2 linked regions of the Macaca fascicularis genome follow. The protein of the gene in region 1 purifies or fractionates together with the protein of each later gene. This does not show direct contact. Links are inferred from orthologs where the notes say so. Each region holds a gene or a part of one and is shown in the gene's direction. Other genes may lie near its edges.

The links. Proteins that work in one complex are often made in the same cells at the same time.
Region 2: the proteins of HIP1R (region 1) and PICALM fractionate together in Homo sapiens (co-fractionation; 3 studies listed by BioGRID and IntAct, with this or other methods). This does not show direct contact. The link is inferred for Macaca fascicularis from reciprocal best matches to the Homo sapiens genes HIP1R and PICALM.

What each region holds. Positions count from the first base shown.
Region 1 is NC_088385.1:129,950,425-129,954,699, forward strand, and holds the start of HIP1R (huntingtin-interacting protein 1-related protein), read left to right. Parts: upstream 1-1,463; 5' UTR 1,464-1,526; coding exon 1,527-1,619; intron 1,620-4,275. UniProt on the Homo sapiens protein: Component of clathrin-coated pits and vesicles, that may link the endocytic machinery to the actin cytoskeleton. Binds 3-phosphoinositides (via ENTH domain).
Region 2 is NC_088388.1:85,049,549-85,053,064, reverse strand, and holds part of PICALM (phosphatidylinositol-binding clathrin assembly protein), read left to right. Parts: coding exon 1-68; intron 69-2,268; coding exon 2,269-2,392; intron 2,393-2,639; coding exon 2,640-2,776; intron 2,777-3,516. UniProt on the Homo sapiens protein: Cytoplasmic adapter protein that plays a critical role in clathrin-mediated endocytosis which is important in processes such as internalization of cell receptors, synaptic transmission or removal of apoptotic cells.

The sequences.
Region 1 (4,275 bases):
AGCTTGCAGTGAGCTGAGATCTGGCCACTGCACTCCAGCCTGGGTGACAGAGCGAGACCCCGTCTCAAAAAAAAAAAAAAAGAAAGAAAGAAAGAGAAAGAAAGAAAGAAGAAAATAAAAGAAAGGAAAGAAGGAGAAGGAAGGAAGGAAGGAAGGAAGGAAGGAAGGAAGGAAGGAAGGAAGGAAGGAAGGAAGGAAGGAAGGAGGGGAGGGAGGGAGGGAGGGAGGGAGGAAAGGAAAGGAAAGAAAGGAAACAAAAGGGTCCTGAGGTTACAGTCTCACTAAGGAGACAAGGGTTAGGATTACGTGGGCGTCATTTTCCTCCTTACAGGCAGGCGGTGCCTCTCTCCCTTCAAAAGCAAGGGACCTTTATGCACGATTCCACATCTGCATTCCGATAGGAAAGGGAAACAGCAGAAACAAAACACCCATCTGAGCTGCGCTTAGAGAGGACTCTGGGCTTTTATTTATTTTTTTACTTCAGTCTTGTGACCAGTAATTTTAAGGGGAAGCCAATAATAATGTTTTTTAAAAGCCTCACGCCACCCCCGGCGGCATCTCCTTGGTGTACTTTGCTTTCAGATCCGCCTGCCTTCTGTCCCAGCCTAATACTGCCCGGCCTCAGCCCCCATTGTCCCTGGCGCTGGCGAGGTGTCCGGTTGCGGAGCCGGCTGCGTCTCTGGAAATGCATCCTGCAACCCCGCATGGATAACAGCTGCAGCTATGTCAGAGATGCACAAAGAGGGGAGAGCGTCACTGTGTGCCTTTTGACACATACGTTAAGACCAAAAAGGAAAAAAAAGTCTATCTGTGCTGCCACCGACCAGACTCATGGAGGCCAGATTTTCTCCAATTAACCAGATCTTGCCTTGGTGCAGACAAGACTTAGTGAGTTCGGGGAAGGGGTTGGGAGAGGGAATTGGCCGGGGTCCCTATCCTGTGTGGAAGGAGGAGGGAGGGGTTTCCCCTCCCTCTCCCCTCCTCTCCGGGTTTAGGGAGGGGATTAGAGGTGGGGAGGAGCTGGGGGGGGCGTTTGGCCTGTGCCCCAACCTTGTGAGATGGAGGTTGGAGGTGTGTGGGGGGCGGAGCGTGTGCCGGGGTCGCCGCGGGTTGGGGGGTTGGGGGTGTGCGGGGGGAGGCGCGTGTCCGGGGATCGCTGGGGGTGGGGTTGGACGTGTGCGGGGGGAGGGGCGTGCCCTGGAGTTGGGGGCGGGTGGGGCGAATGCGGGCGCGGGGGACGGGGTTGGAGGTGTGCGGGGGGAGGGGCGTGCCCTGGAGTTGGGGGCGGGCGGGGCGAATGCGGGCGCGGGGGGCGGGGTTGGAGGTGTGCGGGGGGAGGGGCGTGCCCTGGAGTTGGGGGCGGGCGAGGAGTTTGCGGGCGCGGGGGCGGGGCGAGGTGGGCTCCTCCCCGGCGGGCGGGCCCTGGCGCGGCGCGGCGGCCTCGCGGTGCCTAGGCTGGGGCTGTTGGACCGTGAGGCGCTGAGTCGCGCGGACTGAGCCGGGCAAGAGCGGCCGGCGGCGGCAGGATGAACAGCATCAAGAACGTGCCGGCGCGGGTGCTGAGCCGCAGGCCGGGCCACAGCCTGGAGGCCGAGCGCGAGCAGTTCGACAAGACTCAGGCGAGCGGGCGGCGGGCGGGCGGGCAAGCGGCGTCCCTGTCCCCTCACGCGCGAACCGCTGGGGCCCGGGAGGCGCCGGCCAGGGGCGGGGGACAGCGTGGGGGCAGGGCCTGTGTCCGCCCGGGCGCTCCGAGAGCTCCGCGGCTGCCCCTCGCCGGCCTCCGCGGCCCGAGCCGACCGGCGCGCAGGTGAACCGGAAGCCGCGCTCCCCACTCCCGCCGGGCGCTCGGGCCCAGAGGCGCCGGGGCTGAGGGGGCCGGGGTCAGGGTGTGCGCGGGCCGGGAGCGCTGGAGCTGAGGCGGCGGGGGACGGAGATGGGGCCGGGGTTGGGTGTGCGCGAGCCCAGCGCGCCGGGGGTCTAGGGGTCTGGGGATCCAGGTGCTCCCGGGGCCGGCGCGGCCCGACTGGGGCCCCCGCCCTCAGTACCGCTCCTTGCCGGCTCCCGCCCCCGTCTCCGACCCCCTGAAACCGATGTCCCCACGGGCAGTTTCCTTAAAGGAAATTCCTTAAACTCCCAGCTTTCTTCTCTCGTGAGCGGCTTCCCAGAGCTGCCCAGTCTCCAATTATTTGCTGGGTGAAAAGCTGCTCGTTGTCGCCAGACTTGTTTGCCCGAGCGCTGCCCACGTATAAATAGGTGCACACCCCCTCATTAAATACCGGCGCCCGACAGACAGAAACTTCCTGGGGCTCCCTTCCTGCGCCTCCCACGCCTGTATCTCTTCCAGATGATGCCTATCCTGGGAAGGCTTTAAAATTAAATAAGGGCGCGGGTGTGCGTTTTGTACTTGTGTTTGTGCCGGAGACCCACGATGGAGACATTGCTGCGTTTCTGGTTTCCTGTTGCTTTTTATTTTACAAACTCTTGAAGTGCTCTCAGGCTTGGGGGATGGGCGGTAGAGGGGGGCAAATTGTTTATTTGCCAAAATAAGTCAACCAAGACTGAAATGGCTGAAAAACTTTACTCTAGAGATAAAGGAAGCCAGAGGATCCCTCCCACCTCTGTCTAAAGCAGGTTGGTGACATTTGCGTTTGTGGCGGCTATTTGCAAGTTCCGTCCCACTTGTCCTTGCAGAGAGCGATGACTTCTGCGGTTGCCTTCACATCTAGTTAGCACATGCACTCTGCAACAGCTTTCGTTTTGAAATGAGAGAGAACTCAGGGACACCTTCTAACCTTTGTGCTTGGGATTGACCCAGAAAGCGATAATAAATCCTGAGGATATCAAGGCTTTAGAAATGCCAGGTGCTGGAACCCACCTGGCTGCAAATTATCAATTTATCCTTGTGATCATCATCACCATCATCTGGTTCAGCCAGGATAGCCCGTCATTAAAAAAAATAAAAGGTATGGCTTTTAATTTAAAGTCACCAATATATAATTAATTGTGCCAGGAACTTGTAGATCACAGGGAGAAAACCTTAATTGGCAGACAGATCTGGATGTTGTCAGAAACTTTGTTTATTCACTGAGTTTTTTCTCGTGCCCTTGAGGAGGTATAAAGAGGTCTGATTGCTACATGGGGGAGATGGGATGTGAAGGACCAACTTCATTGATCTTACTCTTAAATGATAAGAAATCAAGAGCAACCTTCCTGAGTGTCAAAGAGATAATCTCTGATACAACCACACATTTTAGTGGTTGGTTTGATACACAAGAAGGTGGATTTTTTTTTTTTTTTTGGAGACAGTCTCTGTTGCCCATGCTGGAGTGCAGTGGCAGGATCTCAGCTCACTGCAACCTCCGCCTCCCAGGTTCAAGCGATTCCCCTGCCTCAGCCTCCCAAGTGGCTGGGACTACAAGCATGCACCACCACATTTTTTTGTGTTTTTAGTAAAGACTGTGTTTCACCATGTTGGCCAGGCTGGTCTCGAGCTCCTGACCTCAGGCGATGCACCCGCCTCACCTCGGCCTCCCAAAGTGTTGGGATTACAGGCGCCTTGCTGAAGGTGGATTGTTTTGTTTTGTTTTGCTCCGGGTTTTTCTCAGAGGCTAAGAGGGCCACTTACAATGAATAACTTTGTAATGGGTGAATGTCACAGGACTCACCTATTCCAGGGCCCCATTTTCTGGAAAGATGGAGTTTGAGTTCATTGTCTGGGTTTGCTCGTCTTCACAGTGACTTATTGAGGAATGTAAGAATGAGGTTTTGTACGTGGTTAATATTTAATTAGATCGTTCCCAGAAATAATCAAGTGAGCCGCCAGCCAGGCCCCATGGTGGAAAAGGACCTGGAGAGCTGAGGTTGCTACTTCCATGTCTCTTTCAGGACAGAAAATAGCACATGCATTCCAGGGACCTGGCTTCCTTTGTAATACGCTGCTTGTCTTGCATTGACCACAGCACTGTGTGCTGTGCGGGAGCACTAGCCTGGCATAGAATTTAAATCTTCACTAGCCTGCCAGCCTCGCTTTCCTCCCCTGGGCTCCTGGGTCAGGAGGAAGATAATTGCTTTCCTGTGAGGTTTTTTGACAGGACACACCCTGTTTGCAAATATCTCTGGGGTTAGCACTCAGGAGTGGCAAGGGAGACGATCATGTGCCTGCTGGGAGCTGGTGCCTGTGATTGTTGCATGGTGTGTGTTTATAATCCCAGGGGAGTGTCCAGAAAACCAGTGTATGCTTTTCTTCCTTATGACTTTAGTCCCTTTGGTGGAAAA
Region 2 (3,516 bases), on another chromosome or scaffold:
GATGCTTTGGAACAACACTTAGCTTCCTTGGAAGGAAAGAAAATCAAAGATTCTACAGCTGCAAGCAGGTACATCATTCTTTGTAGGACAAAGATCAAGAGTGATTTTTCTGAGGGAGTAGATGAAATCAGCTCAAGTTCCAAGCTATTTAATTTCTTTTTATCTTGATTTGATTTTCTATAAAATGGGTTTAATCATAATATCAACCTCATAGAATTAGTATCAGGATTAAATGGATTAATACATGCAAATTCTTGAAATAGTTTCTGACCTTCAATAAATGTCAGCATCTGTTAAGATAATGACAGTGACTGCATAGTTTAGAATTGTGTTTATGATGTCAAAAGTTCTCCTGAAGATGATAGTGCATTGTTTTGTATGATGCTTTATAGTTATAAGATACTTTTTTTTTCTCTTCCCCCCGCCGAGACAAAATCGCACTCTGTTGCCCAGGCTGGAGTGCAGTGGTACAATCTTAGCTCACTTGTAACTTCCACCTCCCGGGTTCAAGCGATTCTTCCACCTCAGCCTCTCAAGTAGCTGGGACTACAGATGCATGCCACCGCACCTGGCTAATTTTTGTATTTTTAGTAGAGACAGGGTTTCACCGTGTTGACCAGGCTGGTCTTGAACCCCTGAAATCAAGTGATCGGCACACCTCAGCCTCCCAAAGTGCTGGGATTACAGGCATGAACCACCGTGCCGGGCCTGTAATTACAAGATACTTTTGTATTAATTTGCTCAATCCTAACAATAGCACTGTGAAGCATGTAGTAGCAGTGCTGGGACTCAAACCTAGAATATCTGACATCAAATTGCATCATCTCTGTCTAATGCCAGTTCATGGGGTTGATTATTGATATTTTATATTTTAATCACTTTATTATGTTTTAAGCTAATTCCTCAGACTAAGACCAGTTAACCTCGCAAATTGAAAGTAACACATCATTTCATATCAATCTGGTAACATGATTTTTGCATTGGGTTAAGAAATTACTTGAGTTACTCTCATGTTTTCATATGAAGCTTTTTTAAAAACAACATGAAGAAAGAATTTGTATGGTGAGAACTTTCCTTTGGTTCTTTTTAGACTTTCTGATTGTTTCAGAACTTTAGTCTTTCTTTTAGTAATAAAATTTAAATTATTTTCAACGGAAAATGCCATTATTAGATTTTAGTACTTATTTTTAATCCTAGATTTGTACTTTGAATTTTCTAGTAGGATTTTCGAAGTAGCAGTCAAAACAATAAGTCTCATTTATTTGAGAGAATAATGAAGAAAAAAGCCATGTAGTTCAGGTGTACCAGTTTACCTGAAATGTTTATCATAAAATGTATTGGTTTTCTTGCATTTCTGTCAACTATGTCACTCTTCCTTTGTCTTCTGAGTTGTACCTTTTTATTGGCTTATTTATAATACTATTTTATGTAAAATTTAAAAGAGTTTTTACCACTTTACATGCTTAGAGTAGAAATTAATGATGATTAGTGTGTGGTAAAAGGAAAATAAAGCTCAAGGTAGTTCTTCAGGTTAGAATTCTTTACCACTTGTTTTACTTAGCCTAGAGTTAACATTTGGAAAGTTAATGTTGAGGTTTATAATGTGGATACTTTTTTGATAAAAGGGAAAGGAGATGGCTTGTCAGTAAAAGATGATACATTGTATGTGTATATTAAAAAGGAAATTCTAGTTTGGCAAAAGGGCAGCACATAGAAAGATGCCAGATGACCTGGTGACTAGATTGAAACTAGTCTTCTTTTGAAGGAACCTGAAGTCCTCTGGGGATGTTGTTATAGGTGAAACATACCTAGACCTCCGTTACGTATTACTGGTATGCATGTTTTGGTGTTCTGTGGCACTGCCAAAACGTAGGCTGTAAATTAGCAGAGGGTTTTCACTGTGATAAGGTCAACACTTTTTCCCATCAGGGATTTTGTGGGAGTATGTGGGCTCTTTCCCAATTGCATTGGTTTCCCCTCTTGGAGCTTGGAAGAGGCAATGTGCCCCACTCTCTTGTGAACCCTTTCCAAAGTCAAACATTTACTCTAAAAGCAGTGAGTGTATATGTAAGTCAAGATTTTTCTAATTGCTCTAATCCCGTAGATCACTGGGTGGAATATTTCATCTGAAGTACTGGATTTGAATCCAGAAGTTAAGTTTATAATTATAGTGCCTATCCATGGCAAGGTTGCCAGACCATTTCCTGACCTGGGTGTAATGTGAAGTGTTTAGCAAAAAGCCAAATTATCTCTGTTCAATTATCCTAGGGCAACTACACTTTCCAATGCAGTGTCTTCCCTGGCAAGCACTGGTCTATCTCTGACCAAAGTGGATGAAAGGGAAAAGCAGGCAGCATTAGAGGAAGAACAGGCACGTTTGAAAGCTTTAAAGGTAAGTTTGTGCATTCTCCATATTTGGAAAAATGAGTACAGGTGTTCATTAGGTAAATGGGGCCTCTGCACAGAGTCTTAAATGTATAGTGTTAATGGGCTGAAACTCAGTCTGACTTTTCATCGTGACATAGAATTAGGTAAAACAGAATATCTGCTATCAGAACAAATTAGAAAATGCTTTTTTCAGAGGTTGTACAAACAAATCTAGTTTCTGGAATCCTTATGGTAGTTCCCTTTCTTAACAGGAACAGCGCCTAAAGGAACTTGCAAAGAAACCTCATACCTCCTTAACAACTGCAGCCTCTCCTGTATCCACCTCAGCAGGAGGGATAATGACTGCACCAGCCATTGACATATTTTCTACCCCTAGTTCTTCTAACAGGTAGGAGTAGAAGTTAAGGTTACCTTTGAATACGTAGGTTCAAACACTTCTAATAGAAATTTTGCAGGAATTTTCAGGTTTACTTTTATTTATACTTTTATAATCTATTCACACAAAGAGGTGGCGATAAATGGTGATATTGGTATAATACCTAAAGATAAAGTGGTGAGAGTTTATATTTTACTTATTTAGGAAATGAAATATAGTTAAATCACTGATTTATGCTAATAGGAATATAGCTGTTATCTCTGGGCAAACTTTTTATTGTGTAAAAATTATGATTAAACACATTTATGAGACATCTAATGCTTCAAGACCCTTTATAGCTCTTTGACATATGGGTATGATGTATATTTTAAAATACCATTTCATTGGATATTAAACATCTGTCATATCTGTTTCCTGGTTTTAAACTCTGTAATCTGGAACATAATGACAGTTTAGTTGCCAGGTTTCTTGGTATTGAAGCCCACCACACTAACTTTAATAATCTTGTTGTCTAATTTAAGCTACTTAACATGGAAATATAATATTGTGGGGTAAAGTAAAATAATTGACATTTTCTAAACCTGTTTTGTCTTTTACCTCAGAGTGGCTTAAAGTAGTTTAAAAGTCAGATTCTGGTTTGAATCCTGGCTCTTTTAGTTCTTAACTTTTTTTGAGAACTTGTTTTCAAGTGAGATTGTGGTTATCAACTTTAACATCAGAAACATTTGGAGAGTTTATTAAACTACAGATAT